5 linked regions of the Coturnix japonica genome follow. The protein of the gene in region 5 interacts with the protein of the main gene of each other region in a pairwise test. Links are inferred from orthologs where the notes say so. Each region holds a gene or a part of one and is shown on either strand. Other genes may lie near its edges.

What was found.
Region 1: the proteins of SPTAN1 (region 5) and CEP63 interact in a two-hybrid assay, tested with the Homo sapiens proteins (2 studies listed by BioGRID and IntAct). The link is inferred for Coturnix japonica from reciprocal best matches to the Homo sapiens genes SPTAN1 and CEP63.
Region 2: the proteins of SPTAN1 (region 5) and EXOC1 interact in a two-hybrid assay, tested with the Homo sapiens proteins (2 studies listed by BioGRID and IntAct). The link is inferred for Coturnix japonica from reciprocal best matches to the Homo sapiens genes SPTAN1 and EXOC1.
Region 3: the proteins of SPTAN1 (region 5) and EVL interact in binary tests that used the Homo sapiens proteins (3 or more experiments, as listed by UniProt). The link is inferred for Coturnix japonica from reciprocal best matches to the Homo sapiens genes SPTAN1 and EVL.
Region 4: the proteins of SPTAN1 (region 5) and DISC1 interact in binary tests that used the Homo sapiens proteins (3 or more experiments, as listed by UniProt). The link is inferred for Coturnix japonica from reciprocal best matches to the Homo sapiens genes SPTAN1 and DISC1.

Annotation. Positions count from the first base shown.
Region 1 is NC_029524.1:2,657,158-2,662,686, forward strand, and holds the end of CEP63 (centrosomal protein of 63 kDa), read left to right. Parts: intron 1-26; coding exon 27-92; intron 93-631; coding exon 632-837; intron 838-1,389; coding exon 1,390-1,675; intron 1,676-3,618; coding exon 3,619-3,777; 3' UTR 3,778-4,129; downstream 4,130-5,529. UniProt on the Homo sapiens protein: Required for normal spindle assembly.
Region 2 is NC_029519.1:58,586,897-58,592,019, reverse strand, and holds part of EXOC1 (exocyst complex component 1), read left to right. Parts: intron 1-448; coding exon 449-525; intron 526-1,012; coding exon 1,013-1,241; intron 1,242-2,408; coding exon 2,409-2,592; intron 2,593-4,209; coding exon 4,210-4,409; intron 4,410-5,123.
Region 3 is NC_029520.1:44,082,826-44,088,215, forward strand, and holds the end of EVL (ena/VASP-like protein), read left to right. Parts: intron 1-1,370; coding exon 1,371-1,437; intron 1,438-1,812; coding exon 1,813-1,870; intron 1,871-2,894; coding exon 2,895-2,932; 3' UTR 2,933-3,522; downstream 3,523-5,390. UniProt on the Homo sapiens protein: Ena/VASP proteins are actin-associated proteins involved in a range of processes dependent on cytoskeleton remodeling and cell polarity such as axon guidance and lamellipodial and filopodial dynamics in migrating cells.
Region 4 is NC_029518.1:35,650,738-35,656,828, reverse strand, and holds the start of DISC1 (disrupted in schizophrenia 1 protein), read left to right. Parts: upstream 1-1,223; 5' UTR 1,224-1,300; coding exon 1,301-1,376; intron 1,377-1,407; exon of another isoform or gene 1,408-1,524; intron 1,525-2,190; exon of another isoform or gene 2,191-2,268; coding exon of another isoform or gene 2,269-2,293; intron 2,294-4,982; exon of another isoform or gene 4,983-5,073; intron 5,074-6,086; exon of another isoform or gene 6,087-6,091. UniProt on the Homo sapiens protein: Involved in the regulation of multiple aspects of embryonic and adult neurogenesis. Required for neural progenitor proliferation in the ventrical/subventrical zone during embryonic brain development and in the adult dentate gyrus of the hippocampus.
Region 5 is NC_029532.1:3,863,412-3,869,550, reverse strand, and holds the start of SPTAN1 (spectrin alpha chain, non-erythrocytic 1), read right to left. Parts: upstream 4,228-6,139; 5' UTR 4,155-4,227; intron 2,751-4,154; exon of another isoform or gene 2,672-2,750; intron 1,671-2,671; 5' UTR 1,653-1,670; coding exon 1,620-1,652; intron 1-1,619. UniProt on the Homo sapiens protein: Fodrin, which seems to be involved in secretion, interacts with calmodulin in a calcium-dependent manner and is thus candidate for the calcium-dependent movement of the cytoskeleton at the membrane.

The sequences.
Region 1 (5,529 bases), on a different chromosome or scaffold from region 5:
TGTTGTTTGCCTCTGGGTTTCTTCAGGTGATTCTCGTTCAGCTGGAGACCTTGAAGTTGGAGAACCGTCACCTCTCAGAGATGCTGGAAAAGGTGGAGCTGGGTGTGCTGGAGGTCCACGTGGGGGGGTGGGTCTAGGGAGGGAGAAGATGGGGAGGAGCAAGCTGTTGACAGTGAGAGTGGTTACTTCTCAGCAGCAGCTAAACCACTGGGGTATGTGTTCCCCCACACCCCTAAGAAGTACCCAGTACAGCTTGCTGTTGTGCTGTCTGGGTTGCTGCTCAGGCTGAGGCAGTTTGTTGGGGTGTCACCCAAGTGTTCCCAGCTTAGGAAGTACTACCAGCCTAGAGCTACATCTGAGCAACTCTTGGTCCATATTTGCATGGCTGTTTTTAAAAGCATCAGCCAGCGACGCTAGTGATTCCCTTTCCTAGGCAGATGAACATGTTGTCTCAGTGCAGACACAATGAGGCATTTGTAATTGATTTGCTCTCATGAAAGCTGTGAAAATTTTGCCAGTCAAAAGTGGGATTGTAGAATATGTTTTAAGGGATTACTTGCCAGACTTTGCTCTGGATTTGTCTAATGGTATCTTGCAAAACCTGTGTTCAATATCAGCCCTTCTGTGTTAGGGAAAAGATGCCACCCTGAGAGCACTCAGTGAAGATTATGTTGTGGAATTAAACAAATTAAAATCAGAGAACCAGCAGCTGAAGAAGGATCTATCAGAGGCCAGGGAGAAACTGAAGCTCACGACCCAGGTCTGCCAGAGTCAACCTGAGGGCACCGCTCAGCAGCTGCAAAGCCAAGAGCCTGAGCCCAGGGATGTGCAGTACAGGTGAGTGTTGCATAACCCAAGGATGCTGTTTCCTTACCATGAAGGAGAACAGAAGGAATGAAGATGTGTGGGATTTTAATGACGTGCTTTATGAACAGCATCTTTCTCCAGCATGTGATATATAGGTGAGAACAAAAAGGACTGTTTAGGAATCTGCCTTTATGCTTGAAGTAGGGCGGTAGTTTTTAGTCCCAGCTGATTTGCATTCTGCAAAGCCAGCTATTATTTGACCGCCTCTGTTCTAGATAGAGAAGCAGTATGTGCTGCTTTCAGTTCAAGGATTAGGCTTGGCACAGTTGGCCGAGCTCTTCTCCATTCTAGCATGTGTTCATATGGTAGCTTTTGGTATCTACAGTAGCAGGAGAGTGAGGGAATTCCCTGATGACTGGATGTGCATCAGGGGGTTCTGTGGAAATGAGAGAGAGCCCTGACAGTCCAAACTGCCTATCAGTAAACTGCCTGCTAAGTGTTATTTCTGCACACGTTCTTGCTGAAATTCAGCTGTTAAGAGGCAAACTGTCAGACAGGTAAGTTTCCACACCTGTCTTGCAGGACAACTCAAGAATCACAGCATAAACAGGATGAGCAGACTGAGAAAATGCATCACAAGCCTGACAAGACTACTCAGCATCATCAGAGACGGAGGAACCAGCCTTTGCCTGCTGAAGTGGGAGCTGTTATCCCTGGGGCTGCTGAGCTACCCACACAGACCAACAGGAGGAACTGTGCAGAGTCACCCACCCTTGCTGCAGGTGACATCCTTGTGCTGGATGATGGCAAAGATTTTCCAGATGGAGCATCCAAACAGTCGGATCATGAACAAGAATCTGTACCTTTGGTAAGTGGTTCTATAGAAGCGTTTTACCATTCAGCTACTGGTAATGCAACTGAGTTCTCATATGGCAAAAGGAAGCAGATCTTTGAATCTGTGATCTGCCTGTGTGGTGTGTGCATATGTCAAGCCTAAAACAGTGAAAACAGTGCTGGATGGTTATGACTTGGACAAGGGGGAGTCATGTAATTATTGAGCAGAGCTCTCTAGGGTGAGGTTCTGTTTGTTACTGAGCAAGTTCCAGAAGCTCGTGGTTCTCCCTGTACCAGTGCTGTACATCAGTGTGCACCACAGCCTGCTCTGCTGCTTCAGAGTTCTGCTTGAGCTTTTGGTTTGGGACCACGTTACAGTGAATTTGGCCCCTCTGAACGGGACTGCAGTAGTCAGCATGTTGCGCTTTGCACCATTTATGTTAGCTGATAAGAGAGCCTGGAAGAAGCGCTTCATTACACAAGCAGAGGTTGTTATATTCCCAGTCAGTGATCTTTCTCATAGGAAGCAATGTTTGCACCTTCTCCATCCTCTTAATGTAGCCCAGCTGCTGAAGCATTTTCCCACCATAAAGGAAATCTGAGCTCAATCACTTCTTGCCTGAGGTATTTAAGACCGTATATCTCAATGCCTGCTGTGATTACTGGCCTGCAGACTGACTGAACAGGGAAGAGGTGGAAGGTAGCAGTGGGACATCAAGACTGATTGTATGCTGGACTATGTCAAAGCGGGGCTGTAGTATGGGAAGGCCTTGAAGCCTGAGTACTGCTCCTTGCTCCAGATGTGTGGTCACTGGCAGTCTGTAGAGATTTCTTCCCCCCTGGTTGTGTACTGTAAGTCGTGACAACAGCAATTTGTAATTTATGGGGAACTCAGAGTAGAGTTTGTGGGGCCCAGGTATGGGTAAGAGGAGGTTTGTCAAGTCTGTAGGTCTTTTTGAGACCAAAAATAGGTCTTAATTGTTTCAAGGCTGAAATTGCTTTGTGGGCATGCCCAGAAAATGAATGTTAGGAGCTGAGGGAATTGTAAATTCTGAATGGAAGCTCTTTAGATTGCAGGATAAGGGCTAAAATGCAAACAGTTCCACGTCAGACATTGAGGAGCACTAGGGGTTGATACTTAGTAGAAGGGAATGCGCTGTCTTTTGCTTAGTGTGGTCTGAGAGGGAGAAAGGCCAGAAAGCCATGAGTCTCCAGGGCTGGGGAATAACCAGTTACACTGTCTTGCCAGGGCACCGAGGCAAGTTTTCTGTAATGGGAAGCAGCCCTGTTGTAATTCACCTTCCTGACCCAGTGCAGGAAGTTTCTCTTCAACCCTTCATTTAAGCTTAGCTTACAGTGTTATTGCTGTGTAAGTTCAGAACTCGCGGGTAAGTGATATGACTAGCAGGAACAATCATTGACTGTGAAGGAAAGAATCTGGAATAGTTCATTGCTGGCTGAATGGACGTGGCAGTTCGGTGAGCTGCCATGGGAGTTTGGCTGTGCTTCCCTTTGGGACTGCAGCAGAAAGCCATTAATACAGAACAAAAGGAAGCATAGAGGGACTCCTGGTGCTCACCCAGTTTGGCAGCCCGGTTCTCTTCTCTGGAAACCCTGTTGTGAGATGGTAATGCACATGGGGATTTTTATGAAGACAAGGAGCAAAATGCAGACTGCAGTGAGTCAGGGCTGGTACTGGCAGAGCAATTGGGGGATTGCAGTGCCCTGCTCTGGAATCGTACTGTGACAGCATAAACCCTCTCGTTATCTTCAGTGGAGGGGTTGGTAAGAGAAGTGAAAGTCCAGTTTCTGAAGGTAAGCAGCCAATTCCGAATGATGCTCCTGGGGCCAGGGTTGCAGAAATGCGGGGGGGGCTGTTTAATTAGAGGGCTATTTAGTTAGGTGTCTCACTGGTTGGCAGTGTTTCTGATTGAAAGCTGAAATAACAAGATACCCACTGCCCCTTTCTCTCTTCAGTGCCCCCTGCCTACATCTTCAGTTGGCTCAGTAGCTGCCCGATACCTGGAAGAGGAAGAACTGAGATCCCAGCACATCTTGGAGTGCCTGGATGCTCACATAGAGGAACTGAAAAAAGAGAGTGAAAAGATAGTCAGACACTTTGGACACCAGGCGTGACGTTTCCTCAAGTGCACTCAGGTGGAGCACTGCTTTCCTTGCATGGTTTCAAACTGCAGCAGAGGGAGGTACCTGCAAAGCAATTGCTGTTGGAGCTTGAGGAGCTGAGTCAGCAGGCTGGATGCTGGGAAGAACATGTGCAGGAATGCCCTGCATCAGCTCAGACTGGAACTGTGCCCCCACCACATGTTGGGCAGCTTCCAAGGGCTAGAAGGCTGTGGGAGAGAGACGGGTCTGTGTGCCCACCTGCAAAGACTTTGTGGTGTTTTTAGAAGAGAAGCATTTGCTAAAATCAATGTGAAGTATTTTAAGTGTATTTTATATGTGTAAAATAAAGCAAAGTGGAAAAATGTGCCTTTTCTTCTTCCTGCAGATTTACATAGTAGAGGTTTTGGCTCATCTTGCATTCTTGTTGGGATCTTTGATGAACAATTCAGACAATGTTTCCATCCTTTCCCTCTAGTCACGTTCTTCAAGAGGCAAGAAATAGGATTCCTCTTCCTTTGGGCCACCCGCATTTTTCCCAGTTATTTTTCTCTTGTTGAAATTTCTTCTTATTTCCTGGTTCATCTTCTGCTCTTTGCTGATAATATCTGTGTAATATCTGGCTTCTTTATCTTGCTTGTGTGCTGCTTCAAGGACTGCGAGGTAACTGAAAAGTGAATAGCTGTATTCTGATTGTGGCCACAGCTCCTACAAAAGAAAGAACAGTAGGTGGAAGTGACAATGAAATTGGATGTGGGGGGGAATGCACAAGCAAGATCCATCTGTCCAGCAGAGGTAATTGCAGCTGCCATGGGCTGCTATCAGCCTGTTTCAATCCAGGCCGTGCCTTGGATACTGTCCAGTCAGGTTGAATTGCAGCACTGGAATACATCTGAGATCTGTTCCTTTACTCCTTGCTCAACAAAATGAGTGAGAGAGCTTGTTTGCTGTGGAGTTGCCTTTCTTCCTGAACCTCCTCCCATAGCTGAGCCTTCACAACCTCTGCACGGACAAACCTAGGCACAGAAGCATCCCTTGCCCTCACTTTCCAGTTCCTTTCCATTGGGTTTGGCAGATGTTTTCAGCAAGGTGATGCCTGTGGGCAGGCTGCAGCCTTCCTGCTATGCCAGAATTGGGCCAGTGCCTTGCTGGGCAGTTCTGCATTCCACGGTTGGAAAGGTGGAGGACTTCTGAATCAACATGTCCTTTTATTCTGCCTTTCTTTTGCAGTTCTTTGAACAAAGATGAAATCTTCAGCTCCATCCTGGGTTCTCTCTGTGCCATTTATGCTATGAGTCATTCACCTGCCCACATGGTCGTGTGTTTTACAAACAGCTTTGGTCTGGGTTTGTGCTCTGAGCTGCCCACAGGTTGGCGTTCCTGGAACATTCACATCTCAGGTAAGGACTTGTTGGTCATGGGGAGTTTGGACAAAAGCCGGGGTGAGCTGTAGGTTGGTCTAAAGATGACAGTTGGCTGCAGGGGAGCTGCTGGCTTAGGGCCTGTCCCAGCTCCCATGCTTCCATGTGTGTTGGCTGTGGGTTATCTGTACTGCCAGACATGCTCTCCTCATCTCTGATGGGGTATGTGCATTTCTTTGACGAAGGGGAGGAGGCAGAGCTGTGTTTGTGCTGGGGGGAGGTGTCACAGCAGGTGCAGGCCTCTGAGCTCCTTTCATCCAGGGGTGCCATGTTCTGCAGGCGCTCCTCTGTGCCTTCCAGCATCATACAGCCCCTGCGACAAGTGCTAGCACTGGCAGCTGTATTG
Region 2 (5,123 bases), on a different chromosome or scaffold from region 5:
TCACAAGAGACCCATTTAAAAGTTAACGTTGGAATTTATCTGGCAACTAAGTGATTTTGGTGATGAGTAGTTTGTTTTTGTCTGCTAGCTAGAACAACATTTGGATTTTTGCTGACAGTACAACAGTTATTTAAGGAAGAACTGGCATGTTTCTTTTGCCATGGTCTTATTTCCCAATATGTTCAGAGTAAGCATGCCTTTTCATAATATTATGTAGGAAGGCAATGGGGAGTAATTGTATATAGTGTGTATACTGGAGATCTTATACCAGAACCATGCCAACCATTGTATTTACTTGGAGTGGGGTGGGGGAAGCTTATGATTTTAGTGCTTTCATCAGACATGCCTTGTCAGTTGTATGTAGAATTTAAGACAAACTTTCAACTGCGTGTGTGTATATATATTTTTTATTTATACATATATATCTATACACTCCTTGTTCTTACAGAATGAAACAGAGGAAATGGATGGAGGAAATTTATCTCGTTCCTACATTTCTGGTGTTCCACAGCCAGTATCATCTGAGTATGTGCTGATGCTGTTTATTCTTTTTTAAGCCTACGCGTGAATTTCTTTGGATTATAAAATTCTATAACAAATTGCACCCTTTTAGTGAAAATGAATGGTAAACTCTAAATCTGTAAGCAGTCACTTTAATACATCAGCAAATATTAAAAGAAATCTTGTTCATGGAATGAATGTTTCTGTCTTTAGTAGAATAAATAAATACATAACTGCAAATTGAAACTAGACTCCATAATATATGAAATACGCTTAGTAAAATTCTGAATTTAAGTGTGTGGCCGTTTCCATACAGAAAATTTTGTGTTGGAATATTTCATACCCGTGACTGTTGATTTTTACAGTGAGACAGCTTTCAGAAAATCATGAGACATGCTGGTTGCATTTATTGCTACAGGCAATAAATTTATCCAAAAAACATGTATCAAAGAACACTTGAAATAATCCAGTAAACTGTCAGCGTAATATTTTTCTTATGTATTTTTCCTAGGAAGGACATGATCCGACAAATGATGACAAAAATATTTCGTTGTATTGAACCTGAACTGAACAATCTTATAGCACTGGGGGACAAGATTGATAGCTTTAATTCCCTTTATATGTTAGTTAAGATGAGCCATCACGTCTGGACTGCACAAAATGTGGACCCAGCTTCCTTTCTCAGCACAACACTCGGAAATGTTTTGGTGACTGTCAAAAGGAACTTTGATAAATGCATTGTAAGTTCTTTAGTTTTTCTGTTTAAGATAACTCTATTACTTTAGGAAGCCTGCACCTATTCAATTTGATTTTAGGATTTTAAGACTTTTTGTTTTAATTTGAAGCAAAAATGAGTGTCTGCACTACAGTTACATTGGACAAACTTTTTTTATTAAAAAATATTTATTAAAAAATAGTAATTGGCAGTTGTTTCCCTCTTCCCTTTCCATCCCAGTTTACCTGAAGGATGAGCTATCCATAGGACGTACAACCTCTTGTCCTCAACATTTCAGTTATGTGAGCTGGCTGACTTTTGTAATTGTTTTAAACTTTTACTGAAGTCAATCAAGTAAAATCAATAGTGCTCTGACTTTTTTTTTTTTTTTTTTTTTACATTCCAAAACAATCCAAAACAACCTCACAGACTTAAGGGAAAATCAGAATCTTTGTAATATACTGAATAGACATTTATTCCTTGCATTCAGGTATTTTTATCATTAAACAAAACGCAGATTTTTGTGAAACATTAAGACTTCTCTCCTACTACCAACATATTTGCCAGTTTCTGCCACGGAGAAAGTTTGCTATTCTTAATAAGGCAGCCTTAGTACAAATACTTGTTTGTGTGACTGTTGCTTTTGCTATTATTGTTGTAAGTGTCATTTGACTCCAGGCCACTTTGGTAACACTGATCATTCATTGTCAGAGGAATGCTTGAGATACTTGGAAGTTATTATTTTTTAGCTTATTCTTAAAAACAAAATTTCAACAGGAGATTAAAGAAGCTTTCTGTGGCCAAATGAATCATTTGCTGGGTTGATGCTGAAAAGTGAAGTTGTGGAATGGAAGTCTTAAATATAATTTGTTAATTGCTTCTGGTGAATAAGTTGTGGATTCATTGTTTGTGGTATTTTTTTTTCTTAATGCTAAATAAGCAAGCAGAGGAAGATAAAAACTTGAAGATTATAAACTTCAGTCTTGAAGATTTTACTTGCCTTTCTTTCTTCACAGTTTTTACTGTTAACAAATTTGTGAAGATACAATAATTAAAAGATAAAATGATCTCCCTGATTAGACGCATGTTACTTTTTCAGTATGTTTACTTTTTTTCTATTACTAGTTATGGTTATTACTAGTTATGGTCTGGAACTGTATTGTAGAGAATAACTTCTGTGTTTCAATTCAAGAGCAATCAAATGAAGCAGATGGATGAAGTAAAAATCTCAAAGAAAAGTAAAGTCGGGATCCTTCCATTTGTTGCTGAATTTGAAGAGTTTGCAGCCCTTGCTGAATCAATTTTCAAAAATGCAGAACGACGAGGAGATCTGGACAAAGCATATATAAAACTTATTAGAGCTGTTTTTATCAGCGGTAGGTCTTCCCATTTCGTAATACTTATTAATTCCTCCTGTGTAGGTGTATTCTGCTCTGTTTAATTGATAATGTTTTTTTTTTTAAGACTCTATATTGTAAACCACATGACCAACATTGCACTGATGTTAAAAAAAAAACAACCTAATTTATAGAAGCAAGTTGAAACATTTTGATAAAATGAAATATTTAAAAGCAAACTGTAGATATTTCCCTTAACACATATATACAAAGTAACTTTCGGTTATGACAGGGGAAGTGGTTAAGGATACAGGAAGGAGGGGGGAGAGAACTGCAACACTACAGGCCAAAGTCTCAAGTGGTTTTCTGGCTTTTCTGCACCAGTCTGGCTTAAATGAGGAGATGAGACAGGATGGAATCCCTGTCATTTCATTCTAATGCTGTACAGCTTCTCAGTGCTGTGTTGTCTCATTCAGTTCTAATGTAGCCTTGTGTTCTGGCTATGAATTTGACCATATCATAGCAGATGAGGTCCTCCTGACATAGTAGAATGCCTCTCCCATCCCTTCCTGTTTTTCCAGCTCTGATCTGGAAAACCAGAACAGTCTTGTTCTCCTTGTTATTAACAAAAAAGAAATAGATGAAGGTGAAGTAAAAGAAGTGAAATGCCAGAAAAATGGTCATAACCTTTTAAACAACAGAGAGGCCTCTCCATGTTGATTTATGTACATCCTTTGAAACAGCTCGACCTGTAGTACTTCCCAATCACTGAGACTTGCCTTTTTCCCTGAGGGAGGTTGAGGAAGAGGGAAGAGTTCTGGCAATAAAGCTTGTTTGAGGAAACTAGCACAGGAGTTCTGAACATTAGGAGGTTGTGAAGATGCATCATTTCACAATATAGTGGACTACAGTTCATAAAGAGTCAGTAGAAGTTAGTAGGGCAGTGAATTTTAACAACATTGATTGCGTCCAACTATTCAGTACTTTAGAATTGATTGTTCAAGTGATGAAACCAGGCAGACGCTAACAGTCAAACCATACATTGATAGAAGTACTACTGTAGGAAGAATTCAGGAAAGTACGTTTTAAAAGAAATTTAAAAGGATTTCAGTTGAACTTAGAAAAAAAAATAATTGACTAGTACAGCATGAGCTTCAACAAGTAATTATGATGGGGATTGGTGCTTCAGTGATCTAACTGAAATGAATTGATGATATTGACTCGTACCTTGGTGCCCAGGAGTATGCTTCATAAATATTTTTCATGGTGGTTTTCCTACTTCATAGTCTCAATGAAATGATGGATGAGCGGGCATAGAGGTTTAATTGCATTCTTAGATTAATTCTGCATTAATCTGCATTCTAACCATCGTCTCCTTGGCCTGCATGCATGCAGATGCAGTAGGGGGTCAATAAGTAGAATTTCTTACACCTGCTCTGTTTTACTTGGGAGGGTTAAAAGTAAAAGCCTGCATGTATCTGATGCTTCTTTTGAAAGCCCTCGAATATTTATTTAGTGACTGTTATGATTATCGTTCATACACATGGTTATCACTGTGATAGAATCCCTTACTTTTTTCTTTTCATCAGTTATGTTTTCTTCCGAATTTGGTTGCCCTTTAGGAGTTCTAAATATTTTGTTTCCCTTATCTTTTAGTTGAAAAAGTAGCTAATGAAAGCCAGAAAACACCCAGAGATGTGGTGATGATGGAGAATTTCCATCATATTTTTGCAACACTTTCTCGGTTGAAAATTTCTTGTCTTGAAGCTGAGAAAAAAGAAGCCAAACTGAAATACACCGAACATCTTCAGTCTTATGTAGTCTACTCACTTGGACAGCCTCTTGAAAAATTAAATGTAAGTATACTTCATTCTAGCTATATACTACCCTACATAATTTTAAAGTACATATACAACTTTCTCTTATGGTTAGTTCGCACTTCTTGTTACCACTTTTAACTTTCTGTGGGTTGACCTCTTTCTGAACAACAGCCACCCTTGAGGACAAACAGCGTCTCTTCCTCTAGCTGCACTTTTTATTGCTGAGTATTACATTGTATGCTAAAGAGTACACTTAGGAGCTTCTCAGCTGTCCAGCTGTGTCCCCTCCCAGCTTCTTGCCCATCTCCAGACTACTATGGAGGAGGCAAGAGGAGGACAGGACATGTGTGGAAAGTCTTGCTGTGCCAAAATGCTGTGGTGTTATCAGTGCTGTTTGAGCTACAAGTCCAAAGCACAGCACCATGTAGGCTGCTATGAAGAAAATTAATTCTGTCTTGTCCAGAGCCAATGCAATGCTTCAAGTGATGTTACAGTTCTACATGCACATTCATAAGCATATTTCTTTCAGTTTTTATTATGTTGATCTACATGGTGAGGAATCTTGAGAAAATAGGGCAATAATGAACTAAATATAATAAAATAATAATAATAATACTGCTCTTGTATTGTTATGATTTAAGTAGAAAACTTCCAATTCAAATGCTTTGCCAGTTTATCTGAAAGATCCGATGTTAACTCAAGCTATGGTCACATTAACTTAGGAGTCTGAGACTGGTTCAGTATTAGATA
Region 3 (5,390 bases), on a different chromosome or scaffold from region 5:
AGTGCTGAAAGTCTGCAGGAAGAAAATTGTCAATGGCAACTGTCTGCACTTACTTATCCCTGTGCTACAGATGCCAGAATGTGCCCTGTCCAAAAATTAAAGGGTGCTTCAGTCTTCCTAGGGTGAAATGCAGTCTCCTGCTTTCCTAAAATCAGTGGGACACTGCTGTGTGAGTTTCCATTGGATATAGGAAAGACCATTTCTTCTCCTTGCAGAAGGGAACGGAAACATGGGCTATTTAAAGCAGCCATCAAGTTTGTGCCAACTCTCTTCTACAAAGTCATTCTACCTCAGAAGGAGTTGAGTGGGGGAAAATCCATTGGCAGCTTAATGCCTGAGTAATGCTCAGTGTTTGCTGCTTGTCTAACTTCTGCAGGGGGAGTGGGGCACTGTGCAGAAGCTCCCAGCAATGCCCAGTTTCCTTCCCAATCAGTTTGATGGCGTTTGTATCTGTCCTCAATCTCAACTTCATTTTGAAATTGTAGCAAAATGTGAAGGTTTTCCCGAGAAAGAGATGGGAGACCAAACACACACACAGAGGCAATGGGATCTCAGCCAGCCCTCAGCTTAGGCCCAGAAATGATGGCAAAGTTATTTGAAACTTCTTCTATGAATTATTTAGCATGATTCATTTCTGATGTTTTAGAATGGTTGTGACAGCAAGTCAGACAGCTTCTGCTTTTTTATGTTTACTTCATTGCCATCGGCAGAGTTCAGCTTGTGAACTAATACAATCCAGGCAGGCTGATAACACCCAAATGTATCAGGCCTTAAGGGCAGGTTTTGTTTGCTTCTGGGTCAAGATGAAGTGCCTTTGCTGTGCAGTGTTATCACAAAGCTCTGCTTGTGTCACACCTTTCCAAGGAAAGGATTATTGGGTTATTATTTGGTTTGCCTTGTGCTAACTTGTGTTTTACTATTATTTTAGCAGCCTGTTAAGTATTATTAAAGCCTAGATAGCCAAGACAGGGTGGTTGTACAAAAAATGGATTCAGGAAGATAGAAAACCAGACATCTATCTTGCAAATTGCCACTACTGTAATGAAGTATATTAGGTCACCCCAGTATGCGGTAGTTTAAAGCCATCGAGGACTACAACCCCAAAAAAAGCCTGAATTAGGTTTCAGAACAGTTTTACCCATGTTCTCTGCTCTGCTGAAGCCTGAGAGCATCCTCTCCTTGGGGGTGAGGCTGGGCAGGAGCAGCCTCCTTGAGGATGCAGCCCAGCAGCACATGGAAAGTCCAGCTCTCCCATACGAGTGCTGCTGGTCTGGCACTGGCTGCACCCGTGCCTTTGTGGGGGGATGGCTCAGCACGCATAGCAGGCATCTGATGGGCCGGTATTTTGTTCTCTTCTTCCCTTTATCAAGGATGAAGCCAGTGAGCAGCAGCAATGATGTGGCTATGGATGCCTTAGATTTTGATCGGATGAAACAGGTGAGTTGAAAGGTCTTTTCACACTTGGAGTTGACGAGCTACCCATTTTCCCCCATGCATGCGCTGTACAAGCAAAACAGCTGTTCAGTCTTCTGGTTTCCTCTACAGCTAGGTGCTTAGAGAAGGGATAGCTGGTGAGCAGCAAGAGAGCACGATCTCACTGCTAGTTGAGCAAGATGTCTGTACGAAACGTGCAAATAAATGCCCCAACCTCTGCTGCACCCTTGGCCTGAGAGTGCAGCCATAGCTGCAAGCAGCAATAGGCTCTGAGTAGCCGTGAAGGTGGGGAACCCACCACAGCCATGTTAAACTTGAGTTTTCTTCCACCAGTCAGAAGGAAATGCTGAGCAGCTGACTTGTGTTTTGTCTCATCAGGAAATATTGGAGGAAGTTGTAAGAGAGTTACACAAAGTGAAAGAGGAGATAATTGATGGTAAGAAAGAGGAAAATCATTATTTTTCTCACTTCTATGACTAATTTCCTGTAGATAAGACAATAGGCACTACAGGGAGTTCCCTGGTGTTTTCAGACTTGTCTGGGTCTGAAGAAAAACGTTCTGCCTTAACTGAGCTTTGGTCATAACACTATATTCACATCCTTTATTTTTATGCTGTTGACACACGTTTTCACCCCAACCTGTGAAAGATTCACTGGCCTGTGCCACTCACAGGGGGAGGTGGGAGAAAGGGCCGGCCCATAGCCCATGGCACATCAGTTTATCACAACCAAGGAGTGTGAAATTGCTTACAACTGGTCTGGCACAGGAGGGGACAAGTGTACCAAACTGGAAACCCTTCCTGAGCCTCCTCTGGAGGATGCTTGTGCTCAAAAAACTATTTCAAGTTAACTCAATCTGAATAGCCTCGTATTTTTCTAACTCGGTGAAATGAAAGATTTCAGCAGGTTTTTTTTTTATAAATTGCTTTGTATTTTCTGACAAAATATGTTTTTCAAGGCCAACATAAGACAGCATAATGCTGCTATTACTGACATGTGCAGCAAAGTACCTATTTATTTGACACCTGCCTTAGGGTGTGCAAAGATCCACGTCCACACCCTGCATTTCCCAACTTAGCTTCATACGAAAGGGGAAAAAGAGGAGACTGTCAAACAGCTAAAAGCCATGCCCGCTGCCCTTCCCCCAGCACCACGTGCTCATAACAGCTGGGCAATTGGCAGCTGAGGACACCCTTGCCCGTTCGCTATGTTCCCAGCAGCTTGGCCCTCAGAGACTCCCCAGTTCATTCCAGTGCAAAATAAGACATTCACATGAATCGCAGATGCCACTTAAACCACTACTGCAGTTTGCAAGCAAACAGCTGACTGCTCACCCTTACTCATCCCTTTACCCTCCACTCATCCCTTTACCGGCGTGTACTTCCTGCAAGCTCTGTACTTAGCGTTTTCTATGTGCGGGGTAGAATGTTCTGCGCTAACTTTTTGGTTTGGTTTTCTAGCCATACGGCAGGAGTTGAGTAGGATCAGTACAACATGATTGCAAAGCATTTGGACGGTACTTAAGAATGCTAGGAAGATTGAATCATTTCCGAGTGTACCCAAGGTCACGCAAGATGGTGAGAGAGGACACCGGCACTGTCTTTGTTCTTATACCCTTTTTATTAGCAGACTCAGCACACTTTGAAGCTTGCTGCTGCCTTGGATTTGCTTCATTTTAAAAGTCTTAATCTAAAGAATATTAAATTTTAAATTTCTGGATTTTTTAGATTTCATCTGACACTGCACATTGGATTTGTCAGCCTTTTTTGTATTTTGTATTTGCTTATTTAAATGTATTATCTTTCTTTTTAGTAGTAGATAAGAACACACGTGAACCATTTGCTTTTGATAGATGACTTCAAAGTAATTTTATTAGTAGTCTGCAATGTAAATGAAGATCCTTTGCCAACAGAAACGTATTGTGGCATCACCAGAAGGAAAGAGACATGTTAGTTGTCAGCCAACAAGTTCTTTGTCTCAGAGTTATCACAATATTAAAAAAAAAAAAAAAAAAGAAAAAGAAAAATGGTACGTCTGCATCACAGTATCTGTGTTCATATTGGTAATAAACTGTTTATTGTCCACATGGCCCTGCCTTTGTTTATATGGTCGGCCCCTTCAGCTTCTCCACCTTAATGTCACCTGGGTATGGTTCCTCACTGGCTTGGGGAGGGCACTGATGAAGTCTCACCTGGAGAGTGCTGAGCTGAGGGGAGAATGGTGGCTTATGGTGGCCTCGGGCCACCACTAACTGTCCTGTCTGTCTCCTCAGTACAAACAAAATCCACCCATCCCACCACTTGTGCCTTATGGGCTTTTGGGAGGAGAGCGAGTCACTCAGAACAAAGCTGCTGAATGGCCACAGCAAAGCAGAAATCCCACGTGCAGTGCTGCTGAACCAGAGGCTTGAACTAGAGCCTTATGGGAGTCACTTGTTAATATTTCATGTTTCCATCTGTTAACTCTGTGCAGGCTTTGGTGAGCTTTATTGTGTGGAAACTGAGGTCTCAGAAATGAGTACAGGATGCTGCATCAGCGCCGCTGAGCACTTCATCACACACTCCCTCTTACCTGTTGGGTCACATGTTCTTTTCTTTGCTACCATTCTTTCCACCAGTTCAATCTTGAGAATTTCTGCTCGACTTGGTTTGGTGGGATTTACAAGGCAGCAGCCATCATACAATCTCCTTGGCAGCTTTATGGAAAAGGCACAAAGTGATGGGAGTTCAGCTGTGGAAATCAGCGTTTCCAGAGCCCTCCTTCTTGCTTTGGGCCTTCCTGATGGCATCATGTTGTAAACCAGGTCCTGGGGGGCTGTTGCAGAGCCCTGTGGACCATGGTCATTCTCTCAGCGCTCAGGCAGGGACCTGGAGACTGCTGTGGGGCCCTGCTGGAGCAGGGCTTGGGCCAGGGCTCCATTCTTGCCCAATTCCATGATCCTGCATGACTGCCTTCAAGCAGCAGGATGCCCAGGAGGGCAGGGGTGTGGCGGGCTTGCTGGTTACTTATAAACTTTTATCTACTTTGGCTGGGAGAGTCTGAGGTTGTCCTTCAGCAATCTTCAAAGCCACCCCATCTGTCCTCTAGAAAACAGTCCCCCCTACCTCTCCCCACCCCCCCAGTTACACTGTAAACTAAATACTAGATAAAAGAGGGAAATTTAAACTTAATTGAAGGGCAATCTCCAGTCCAAGCCTGACATCTGCTAGCTGTTTAGTGCTGGCTTCCCACCTGGCTAGAGAAAGATGGCAGGATAAGATGTTTATTTGGGAACTAAAGCAGAAAGGCATGGATGTGAAACACAACACTATGGTTCCAGGACCAGGAGAAAGAGCCTTTCTGGTAGGAATAACACAGCCAAACATCAGTGAAGTTTATTATGGTCTGCTGTATAAATACGATACAATAGCTCATGTGTTTCTTAATTATGAAACCGTTTCATGGAACAATTAAGACAGCAAAAGACCTCTAAAATTGTTTAGTCCAACCATCAACCCACCCCCACAGTGCCCACCAACCATACACCTCAATGCCGTACTTCCATACTTCTTGCAGGGACAGTGACCACCTCCCAGTCACCCACCTCCCAGGGCAACCTTTGCCAATGCAGTACCGCTCTTTCTGAGAAGAAACTTTACTTAATACTCAACTGGAACCTTTCCTGGTGCAACTTAAGGCCTTTACCTCTTGTCCTGTAGCATTTGATGGCGTACCTGACAACTGCAAGCGCTTTTCTAAACTGCTGCCTCACAGATAGTCACAACCATTCTGTGAAAGTCTCTGTTAACCTTTCTTATGCTTGACAAAGTTGGGCCCCAGCTCAATCTGTGTTTTTCTTTGGAGCGTGGCACTGCACCTACAGTCAGCAACAACCACACTGTCACCCAGACTGAGTACAGCCTGGCTACAGCACAGCCCTATGGTAACACCAGCAACCTACTGTAAATGACCTTTTC
Region 4 (6,091 bases), on a different chromosome or scaffold from region 5:
CCCTTTGTTTGCACACGTGCAGCTGTTCTTTTATGACAAATTGATCTCTGAGTGATGGGAGCTAGTACTGATATAAGCTGACATCATCTGAATCAGCAGCAGCACTGCACATTTGATGAAAGGAGGATGTGTGTCTATTTTTGGCTTGTGAGGCACAGCTGTCTATTATATTGTCTCATAAGTCAGGAAGGGCAGAGCCTGGAGTATGAGGTTACATCTCTCTTAACACGTCCTGTATTTCTTAATAAATGGACTGAAACACAAGAATATCAGTAAGCTCTTAGCTGTCAACTAAAGCGAGGCTTTTCTGTAGCAGTGTCTCTGAATGTCATAGAAACTTCTCAGCACACAAGGTGATGTTTTAATGTATGGTAGCACTATGCATAACTGAGAAGGCACCTTTGAAGTCTAGGATGGAGGGCACCTTGAAAAATGCTTAACATGAAATTAATACTGAAAAATGGTTGATATAGTGAATATGGTGATAGCCAAGGAGTGATTCAGGTTGGATAACAGGGAAAATGTCTTCTCCCAAGGAGTAGCGAGGCACTGGCACAGGCTGCCAGGGAGGTGGTGGAGTCACCATCCTTGAAGGTGTTCAAGAAACGTGGCACCAAGGGATGTCATCTAGTGGGCATGGTGGGGGTGGGCTGATGGTTGGACTGGAGGATCTTAGTGAAGTTGTGGTTTGACTTCAATGGATCACAGACTTGCAAAAGTAATAGCGATAGGACAAGGGGGAATGATTTTAATTAAAAGATTTAGATCAGATATCAGGGGAATTTTTTTCGCTGGGAGAGCAGTGAGGCCCTGGCACAGCTGTCTGCCTGGAGGTACCTGAGGCCAGGTTGGATGGGACCCTGGGCAGCATGAGTTGATGTGGGGCAAGAGGTTGGGGCTGGATGGGCTTTAAGGTTCCTTCCAACCCAAGCTGCTCTGTGACTCTATGAGAAGTAATGGAAGCACACACAGTGCAGACACTGGTGCCAAGTTGAAACTACATATAGACAATGAGCAGCGTGTTTCCTCGTTGTGTGCGTGCCGTGCTGAATTCAGAAACGATCTGCAGTCGGGGCTTCGGGTCCCAACCTCCATCTCCCCCTGCTAGTCCAAAGCCCGTACGCTGCAGGCTTGAGGCTGCCCCCGGCTCGCAGGAGGCCGGCCCGGAGGAGGGGCGGCGGGTGCCGTCGTGCGGGCCGCGCCCCGTGGCTCCGAGCCGCCGGGGGAGTGGCCGGGGCCGTCGCTTTCCGCCCCGCTCGACGCGACCGGGGGGAGCCGCTTCGTCCCGCCGGGGGGCGGGATGTGGCGGCCGCAGCCCCGTTCGGACGGCACCGACAGGCGGCGCCGCGGCAGCGGGAGGGAGGAGACCGGCCCAGGTGAGCGGGGCCGGGGGCTGAGGGGCGGCCCAGCGCCTGGGAGGGGGGCCGGGGGCCGGGAGCGCAGCGGGGCTGTAACGGTGCCCGGTCCGTCCCGCAGCGGCTCTCCCCGAGGCAGGAGGGGCTCCGAGTGGGATCCGAGCTTCGGGTGGGTAGGGCGGCTTTGGGACGCTCGGTGCGGGCGGAGGGGTTAGATACAAAGACTCGTTGCTTGCTTCTTAGTTTCAAACCCGCTTTGCTTGCTTAGTTTTCACTCCCCGGAGTTTTTGTCTTGGCGAGGGTTAGCACGGTGTTGCCTAGGAAACTTTGTTATAACTCTGAAATAACACTTTTTTTTTTTCCTTCCTCCTTGTTTTAACCCCAAAATTCCACCTCTGTTAGTGTGGAAGCAATTATATTACTACATAAATGTGTGTGATTTGTAGGTTTGTATGTATATACACAAACATATATAAGTGAGTGTGTATATGTATATACATCTACATAACCAACTGCTGTGAGGGAAGTAGACATGCTCTTAGAAGTCAGCAGTCTGGTATCTCCGAACTTGGTTTAAAAAGGAAGCTGCCATATTCGTGGGGAAAAAGCCACGTTTGTGTGTCAGTCCTTGCATAAATGAGCACTGAATGGTGTGGCTGGCAGAGCAGGTGAGCTGCTCTCCCCTCTATTGCTCAGCTGTCAGCCTGAGCAGGAGTCATTTCTGATAGTAGTACCGGTGAGGGGCTGGAGCTGTGGGTAACACCAGAAAATAGCTCGATCTTCTCAAAGGGATTCAGAAGGGAAGGCGTAGAATGCATCAGGCACATCAGCTGACTTTCTGGCTTTTTTGGATACACAGTACTGCAAAGCAAAACTTCCTGCAAACACTTGAGTTGTCCTTGCCAACATCTCAATGGAGAGCAGCTCATTGATGTTGGGTAATCCGTGCTAATCTGTGTGTACATGTGTTTGAGTAACTTTTTGCTGTGCTTCTGAACAGTGCTTTAAGAGCTCTTTAGTGAAGTGCCTTTATAATAAAAGCTTTTCTATGCATATAAGTGAGCATATACTGGCAAGCACTGCTGGCAATTGAAAATAGAGTTTTGAAAGAGATGCATAAACTACCTTGAGATGCATTATCTCTGTTCTTGTCTCTTCATATTTGTCCGTTTACTTGCTAATTTGCAATTGGCCTTTCAGTAACTTGTGAAAATGGAAGAAAAGTTCCTCTTTATTCACTTTTGTGTTGTGTAATTTCCAAGTCTAGGTAGTTATTTCATATCAGTGTTCCCCCATATTATTGCTGAAATCAAAGCTGTGGTTTCTTTTGGGAAGAGACTGATGGTGGTGTTACAGCCCGAGTTCCAGTCATCATTTCCTATCAATAGGATTTTTAGGCAGTTTTGAAACTAAGAAGAAAGGTGTTTAAATATGTGATTTAAAGAGACAACTAGCTGAGCTTAGAGGTCTGTGATCCTCTAAAAAGTGGGACTGGTGGATGTAAAGGAACCCACAGATGTTCTGTGCATTTGATATTGTCGGTGTCCATCTCTGTGTGTTTTTTCTTGCTTTGTGTTGCTGTTAAACTTACTCATTTTTTGTGTAGTTCCTTTAGATTGGCCAGTGAAAATAACCTACTGGCATACACTGTACTACTGAGTTACACAGCAGCACAACACTCTGAAGTGTGGTCATAGACAAGCACTGTATTGCCACTGGCTTCTTCCCTCTTTAACTTCACATAAATCAACCTTTGTTCCCTTCAGCAAAATGAAGTCAGAAAGTTTGGGCCTAAGACGCTGCCTCTGGAATTGTAGTGGAGTCGTGCAAGAAAAGAGGATTTATTAACACCAGTATGAATTAATTGTAATGAACAGAAGGACGGAAAAGCACCGCAAACAATGTTTTGTACTCACAAAAGCAGAGCACCCTGAAGGTTAATTCTGACTTTGTTCACAAATTAGGCACACTCGGGTAGGTTTTTCTTTTTGCTCACCGTAGCTCAGGCCTCCTGCAGCTCTCGAACCACCTGACCTCCCAGTTGGGATCTACTGGAGTGTGTGGTGCACCCTGAGTGCTCATCAGGAGTTAGGATTTTTCTTTTCATTTTGGCATTTGGTTTTCTTGAGCAAATGTTCATCCCAATTGAGTGGCGGGCAGTCTGCAGCCTTTCCTGCTTTTGGATGTTGTACATATTAACACCTCCTGTGACAACAGCTTTCCTTGCTTCCTTTGGAGTACCAGGCCCAAAGGTAAACAGGGAGGAACCTGTGGTGTTGCCATAGAGATTTCCGAGTTCATCCTTAGCTCTTTGCAGAGAGCAGCCCTTTCTTGCTGTGTCACCTGGATTAGGATTGAGCCTGGGGTATGCTGTAATACTACTCAGTGTTCTCGAAGGCAAACTGCTGCAAAACCCTTATGTGTGAGGGATGAATGTGTCCTTTGTAAATCAGCAGTCACACAGGAAAAACTTGGCTCTCTGGTACTGAACAAAGGCTGCTGTGCCTGTGTGAAGTTCTGTAGTATCCTTGTTTGGAGGTGCTTACTTAATTCAGTGTAACATTTAACAGTGTGCTTTGTGCTCTGTTTTGTCATATAGGCACAGGTTGTGTTAATTGCTCACCTGAAAAGTGCTGTCAGGGAGAGATGTTTCTTTACCAAGTCTCCCAGTCTCGGATGCTATGTAACAGGAGCTGAAATTAACTGCTGACATTCTTCGTTTGCTCAATGTGAGTGTGCCATATGAAAACTGAAGCAGCTACCAGTGTGGAGTTATTTCCCTGTTTATTGATGCTGCAAATGTAGGGTGGCTTAATGACTAATCTGAAGTCTACAGACAGAGCGGTGAGATCATGTGCTTTGCCTGAAGTACAGTTCCTTTGTTCAGCATGATTCCTTTGGGGCACACAGAATTTGGATCCTGTCTCCCCTTTGTGTGGTGTGCCACATCTGCGTGCTGTACGATACTGCAGTCTTTATCTCAGATCCTTTTTCACCCAACAGCTCCGCTTCCTCCCAACACATTCATCTCTTATCTCAGTATGATATATTACTAATAGGAATCCTGTTGTCTAATGAATCTAATTGGTGGCACTTTCTATTCTTTCCCACTCCCCCCTCCCTTTCCTACCTTTCTTGCTGTCTTACATATAAATTTATTTACCTGTGATGTCAAAGTAGTTTATTTGGTTACTTGGCTCTTTTTTTGCCTTCTCTCTGTGTTTATTTGTAGCAGCACCAACTACAAAAACATTTGGATTTTACATTAAAAAAGCAAATATTTACTACATAAGCAGTTATGTGATCAGGATTAGGGATGGAAAATGTGTTTTCTTGAAATTACTTATCTCCCTTCATTTCAAAGATATGTTACCTGCATTTATAGATGGTATCAAACAGTACACAAGTCAAAACTTGTGCAGATGAAACAGCAACTTGCTAAACAAGGCGTGTGTATATGCGAAGATGATAAAATCTTGTAAAAGAACTACATGGGAGAAGTGGCTGCTTCAACCTAAGAATAGAATAAATGTCATGTATGTGAAATTCTCTTCCACCTTTCCCTGCTATGTGCAATGGCAGAGGAATGGGATTTAGCGGGCTCTGGCTGAGAGGTTTCTTTGTTAGGGTCATCAGGGCAGGAAACCATTATGGAGGAAAATCTCTTAGTGGAGCAACTCTAAGGCAACCTGCGGAGTGAGGAGTCAAGAGGTTGATGGTGAGTATTGTAAAACTGAGTAAGAATGGAAGGGTTGGTATCCATGGACAAAACAGGAAATGGGAATTGGAATAATTAGATATCCTGAGTTGTTTGGCAGGTCTCTGTATTAGTACAAGATGAGGTGTGTGGCATTGGTGTAGCTTTTCAGAACATTGCTAAATTCTGTGTAGCAATGTTAATGGAGAAGTAGAGTCAAATGGTAGGGATGTTTTCAATGTGCCTGTGTATAATGAAGTTTGACAGTGGCTTCATGACCTCAGTGATTGATGGGGTGAGCAGGGTAGTCCCTAGCTCAGCTCATTTAGCTGGCCCCACTTCTGGATTTATTGTTAGTCATGCCTTTGGGTCTGAAAAGCATTTTGAGCATTCTTAGAGTCTTTTGTTTTAGTTTTGGAAGACTGTAAGGTCTCCAGAGAGCCTGGGAAGGGAAGGCCTGGTCGCTAGGCTGAGCTGCTTCCTGTTGCAGAGTGTATGTAGGACCCAGGGGATGTGGAGTAGTGGGCTGAACAGCTGCTTCAGAACTGGGGGTTGGCTCTTCCTGTTTGTAGAGCAGTGCATTGCTTTCTGTGTCTGCACTGATTCTTTGAGCTGTGATCTGCGGAGCTGAGCTGTGACTCCGTGAGCCCTGTTCCTCTCATAAAAGTGATAGGTATGCCAACCATAGGACAGTGGGACAGGGAGCTGCTCAGTTTGGTGCTGTTTTACACTGCTGTTCTGCCAGATCCCCTGCTTAGGAGAACAGTGAGTTTCTGTTTGCTTAGAGCAATGAAAATCCTGAGAAACCCCTTGTTGAAACTGTGAGAAAACTAGCTGCTGTTGCATGGAGTGCAGTACCAGCACAGCTGTTCCTCAGTGTGGCTTTGCTCCTTCATGTCAAACTTGTTAATAATCAGCACGTATTGCATTTCCTTTCCCTGGGAAATCTGAACGCGGTTGTGCTGAGACTGCTGTTGTAGTATTCACATGTTTGTGGTCTGCCTGAGTCGTGTATAGACTTGGCTGGGAGAAGAGCTGC
Region 5 (6,139 bases):
GGGAGGCAGCGAGGTGGGCTCAGCAGGAATGACAGCAATGCTGGCAGGGCAGAGGTCAGCGTTTTCCTGACCTAAATGTGGTTTCAGGGATTGAAAAACTCCAATGCAAACTACACTGAGCGCTGCACAGCAGATTTTGGCAGCTTTTTCCAAACAGCTACACAAAGTTGAAAGACGAAAACCACCGTACTTGGAAAGCAATCAGATATCACTATATAGAGATCATGCACCCAGCACTGGTGACCCCAGCAGCAGCACTGCAAGGTTCTGTGCTGTGTCTCACTTGGCGATGCAGCCCCAAGCCATGGGGACACCATCACTGCTTCCATGGGATCCAATCACCCGTGGCTTTACTCATAGAAAGGAATCACCCTGCCTGCTGCTGCCAGGGCTATGGCACAGTGGGTGCACCTAGAAGTAAGAAGGTGTCCATCATACACACCATGCTGCAGATCTTAAATGCAAACGAGGGATAATTAATGCTCAGTCATTTAGCTTGCTATTAATTTAAATCTAGAAAATAGAGAAGTGCCAAAGGCAGAATGCAGCAGAACCCCAGTGCTCCTGGCTACCAACGTGGGTCAGCCAAGGACTGCACAGCCAAGCCAGGTGCTGCAGCATGAAGCCCAACATGTGCTGGAACTGCCATGTAGGGCTGTAGGATCACACAGACCAACTGCAGCACAGGGAACATCCTAACTCTGGGGACACATTAAGTTTGCATTGCAGGGACACAGAAAAAAGATCTGCTTTGTGTTTGAACTAAGGCAGGCTGCAAACACACTGATGCAGGCTGATGAGGGCTTGTGCACAGCCAACCACGTTTCAAAACCTGCATGGCAATTAAAGACCTGCTCATTTATAGGCATGTTAACTTTCTCATTCTGCAGCCAAACCGGTGAAGCTGCAGAACAGGGCTGAACTGCTGCTCTGAATTTGGTGCCTTGATGCAGAACTGGGTTGCTCTGCTTTTGGTGTCAGTGCAGCACTGCTCCAACACAGCACAGCACCCCAACCGCACTGCAGAACCGCAGGGCGACAGGTAATGGGATGTTACATAACACCCCCAGCATGCTCCGTTCCTGTCAGTTCTTCATTATAATGCTAATCCCAGCACAGACATTCACCTGACTCATTTCCAGATAGAACCTGGCTGCTGTGTCAGTTTGGCCCCCGTTTTACCATCTCCAAACTGCAAACAGCACAGATGGACAGTGAGAGCGCAATGCGTGGGCTGTACGTCTGTGTGAGTGGATCTAATAGGAACCAGAACTGACTTTAAACGTACAATGTGCTGTGATGTAAATCCATCATCATTGATTTCCAGACAGCTAAAGAGACATCGCACAAGAATCCTCTAAAACAAGGAGCTCTTGGAAAATTAATCCACAGCAACAGCCAATTATACTGAACTACGAGGTGTTCACACATCATGCATCGTAGAAATTAGGAAACTCAAAGTATTAAGGAAAGCCAGATGAGAATGAACAGAGAAGTACAAATAAAGCATTTGCTATGTCATACAAACTCTCAAACCAATGGGGTTTTGTTACAGACAGGTCACTGCAATAAAGGCAGGCAAGTATGGCGACAGCAGCACATGCATTACGTAGCAATACCTGGACTTTGACTTTACGAAACGATGACAACATGATGGAGGAATGCAGAGTCTAAAAGGGAGGGGGAGAGCGAGATAACATTCAGCTCACTATGAGTGCAAGGACATGGCTTTGTTCTTGTCTCCTAAAACACAAACCCCATCACAGCACACACCACACGCATCCCCCTTGGTTCTGTGCCACACACAGCAGTTCAGTGTTCCACAAGGCAGCAGAACCCCCCATGCAAACAGGTTACCATCACCAGCAGGAAGAGTTAATGCGGTCAGTGCTAACCTTTCCGGTTAACTGAGACAAACCAAGCCCTGCCATAATCTGAAGGTCAAAACAGACACTAAAGGAAGTTCTCTGGACTTGGCAAATGACGCTCCTTGTGACACAGTAATCAAATGGGGTGGGCTTAATTTCAAGGCACAAATACAACGAGGTCTCAAATACCTCCAAAGATATTTCATTCCAATTGCCACAGTTGAAAAATGAAAAAAACCAACAGTTGCAGCAGGAGATACTTCTTGAGATGGCTCATTATGTAGTTGTTAAGTATATCTAATCCAATACATTTCCAGCTGAAAGCTGCCCTGCTGCTCCCAGCTCTATTTTCCCTGTGAGTACACACTGCAGTCCCTGGAGCAGCCCACAGACAAGCGCAGTTTGCTGTCTTTGTGCTCGCTGAAGCCACTGCATATCTCCCATGGCATCTGCATAGCTGAGCACGGATCGGTGTCAGCAGGGAAGGCAGCCTGCCACCCGTTTGATCAGCAATATCGCGGGGCTATGCTTGGCAATCCCCACCAGCAGCATCTGCAGTCTGCTCCACCCCATTCTTCTGCTGCCTACACTCCAGGGCCAAATGGAACAAACAGACTCCCACACTACATGAACACGCAGGAGAGAAAAGGGAGGAATTGGTGTCATTTCTTCCAACGCAAGGGGAGCGATCCATTTCACATCAGAAAGCAATGTATTTATGAAGCACACAACTGCGTGCCATAAATACATGATGTGGATAAAAACAAGCCGACAGCGACACTGAGCTATTTGCATTGAGTTACCGGGATGAGCTACGTGTGTAATAGTTGAGAAACAGGGATTTCACAGCGAGGTACCACCCTGCCTTAGGAGATGCACGGCTCCTCCTGCCTTCCTCCTCCTGTGCAGGAGAAAAACATGCAAAGATGGCTTAAAAAGACAGCTTAAAGAGATAGCCCTCACCTTCTGATATCCTTGTTATGATGTTACTTTGATATTACACATACATCTGTCCAACTCCATTCGCCGTGGACCTCAAGGAAGCATCACCCCTAGATGTGATTTTATAGATGCAGTTCCATCCCAGTGCATTCAGATGGAGTTTCTCCCACCCCCAAGCAGTGACAGAAATAAACGACTCAATGCAAACAAGGGAACCTGCTCCTTTGCTGCCAGCACTTGCACTGCTGCACTCAGACCCTGCACGCAATGCAGCACAGCGCGCCCTATTTCCAACCTTTTGTTCATTATTTATAACCAGTTCAGCACAAACAACCACAACCCATCGTTAGGTGCATTTCAAGGCAATGGGAATGAGTCGTACATGGCAATTTAACCATAGCTTTGGAAATAGAAATGTATATTAAAGAATGGAGCCTGTGAGCAAGGCCATCCATGGAACCCAGCCTTTGGAATCTTCTGGCACTTGGCTCCAAGCACAATGCCAGAAGAAAACAGATACGATGTTTTCTTTGCCAGATAGATACAGAAGCATTTCAGGCAGGTTGGGGTTTGTTGTTGTTTTTTCTCTTCCCTGATGCGTTCATTTGCCATCTCCAGACAACTGCAGCTCAGAGCCCACACACACAGTGCAGTGCGGATGGCAGGGCACACACACCGCCATCCATCCATCCATCCATCCATCCATCCATCCATCCATCCATCATCCATCCATCCATCCATCCATCCATCCATCCCCACACCCAGCAGGGAGCTGCAGTGGATCGCACACAGCTCCGTTCAGCCCTTCGTGTACAGATCTCACCTACCGAGGCACCAACCACTGAAACCCTAACAGAGGGGGAAAAAAAGGGAAAAAAAACCAACAACTGTATTTCTGGTTGTTGTTTTTTCCCCTTTTTTTAACACAAAGAGGCTGCCAGACGAGGATCGGGCCCTGTGGTGCCGCAGTGCCCGCACTGAGCTGCCGCCCCTCGCTCCCCTCAGCCGCTGACCTTGGCGGGCGCTGTGGAAGCCATTGCTGCCGGCGGGGCCGCCTGTCACCGCCCGTCCCCTCCCCTCCCCTCCCCGGGGCTCTGAATGGAATTCCAGCCGCCGGCCGAGCCCTCCCGGTCGGATGTCGCTGCTCCCTGCTCCCTTTATCCTTTATCCCCCCTTCTCCCCCCTCAGGGCACGACACGCGCTGAGATCCCTACAGGGACAGCGCTCAGAGGCCTCCCCGCGGCTGAGGGGAGCGCACCCCTGTCCCCACAGCGCTGGAGCGGGCTCTGCTCGCTCCAAGTGAAGCGGAGGAAGCCGCCCGCCCGCCTCAGCCCGCCGCCTCACCGGCTCCTCACGCAGTCCGCCTCCTCCGCGCCCGCCGCCCCTCCGCTACGGACACCGCGCGCCGCCGGCGCCGCCTTTTATACTGCGACAGGAGATGACGTCAGCGCCGCAGAACGGGCTCCCGAGTGACGGAAAGTGCCGAAGGGGTTCGGAAAAAATCGGCGGGGGAAGGGAGGGCCCCACCCACCCGAGAGCAGCAGAAGGGACAGAGAGCGCATGCGGACAGAGCCGAAGTGTTCCGGAAAGTGCCGAGTGGCTCCGGAAAGAGCCGAAGGGCGTGGCGGGATGCCTGAGTGAAAGGGCGGGGTGCGGGCGGGAGGCCGTGGCTCGCTCTGTGGCCCTTCAGTGAACCTTAAAATAATATTAATTAACAAAAGAAAAACCAACCAAACAAAAAACCCAACAAACCCAAACGGGGCAGCAGCGTTAATTATTTACAATACCAACACAGCACGGCGGAGATGGGGGTCTCTGCTGCCTCCTCAGCCCCGCCGGGGCCATCTTCTGCTCCTGAGGCGCAGAGCTGCTGAGGGGCTGAAGATCCACTGCAGATTTCACTGTTAAAATCAATAAAAGTCGAAGCAGCCTCAGCAGTTCTGCGTTATTAAAGGTCTGAACCATGGAGGCTGCCGTTCTGGTGTCAGTAGCTGACAAGGCTCCCCACAGCTCAGGCTCCTCACCTGGCACAAACCATCTATTTTTAAAGGCATAAATCCAAAGGAAAACGAGCCCTTAGGATGAATAAGATGTCTGGAATAGACACATGAGAAAGGCTTGGCCGAGTCTCTCAGGTTTTGATAGGCAGAACGCCATCAGATCAAAGCACTGAGGGGGATTCGGTGATGTGTGAGTTAATAACACTTCTATTTAAGTGCTTAAAGGGAAAAAACACTCTTGCATCAGAAGCCGTAGGACTGCATGGAACCATTGTCTCTAAGGAAGATTAGAGTGACTCACAGCAATCTTAGTGCATCTGGTCCTGAACACACAGCGCCTGCACATGAGATGCTGGCATTTGGGACTCAAATGTGTGTATGAAAACAGCATTTTGGTGTGAGCACAAGACCTTACCTGCACTGGGTCACCAGCCACCAGAGCCACATCCAGCCTGGCCTTGGATGCCTGCAGGGATGGGGCATCCACAGCCTCCTTGGGCAACCTGTTCCAGTGCATCACCACCCTCTGGGGGAAAAACTTCCTCCTAAGATCCAACCTAAACCTGCCCTGTCTCCGTTTCAAACCATTCCCCCTTGTCCTATCACAGAAACCAAAGACTTGAGCATTTTCAAGAGTACCGATTCAGATGCAGCTCTGGTATGTGATACAAGGAAACTGGGGGAGATTTGCATCATACTCAACAGCCACCAGTAACACTAACCAAATTAATTCCAGCATCAGTTTACAAAGACCGAATACAAACAGGGTTTATTACTAATTTTCAAGTCCAAGTTCAGTACTTAAAAAAGGCCCAAGTGCACCATAATTCATTATAACCTTTTATCAAAAAAACTTCAGATCTGTGCATTAAAAACCTCAACCATTTCACATCAACGTACAGCACTCAGCTCCACTCTTTACAGCTTCTAATTCTGAAAGCCTTCATGAATATCAAAAAGCTATCTGATAAAAATAACACTTTTAATTGGCAGTTGTCTTGTGCAAAACCATGCAGCGCCTTCCTGAACTCTGAAGCTGATTTTCTCGTCTTGGAAACCACCAAAATAGTTCAAGAGCAGCAGTGCACACCAAAGACACCTCCTACCACCCTCATCACCCACATCCACCATGAAGGAAGCCATTGGGTTTACTGCCATCTCCCTCCAACACCTATAGAAAAGACATGAGCTGCCTCAGATTAGCACGAAAGAGAAAGTTAATACATATTTTAATAGCAAACAGACATTTAAAAATGAACTATTCTCAGAATAATCCACCGCTGGTATAAAAGTATTACAGTACTTGATAAAAACAGCATAAAGTCGGAA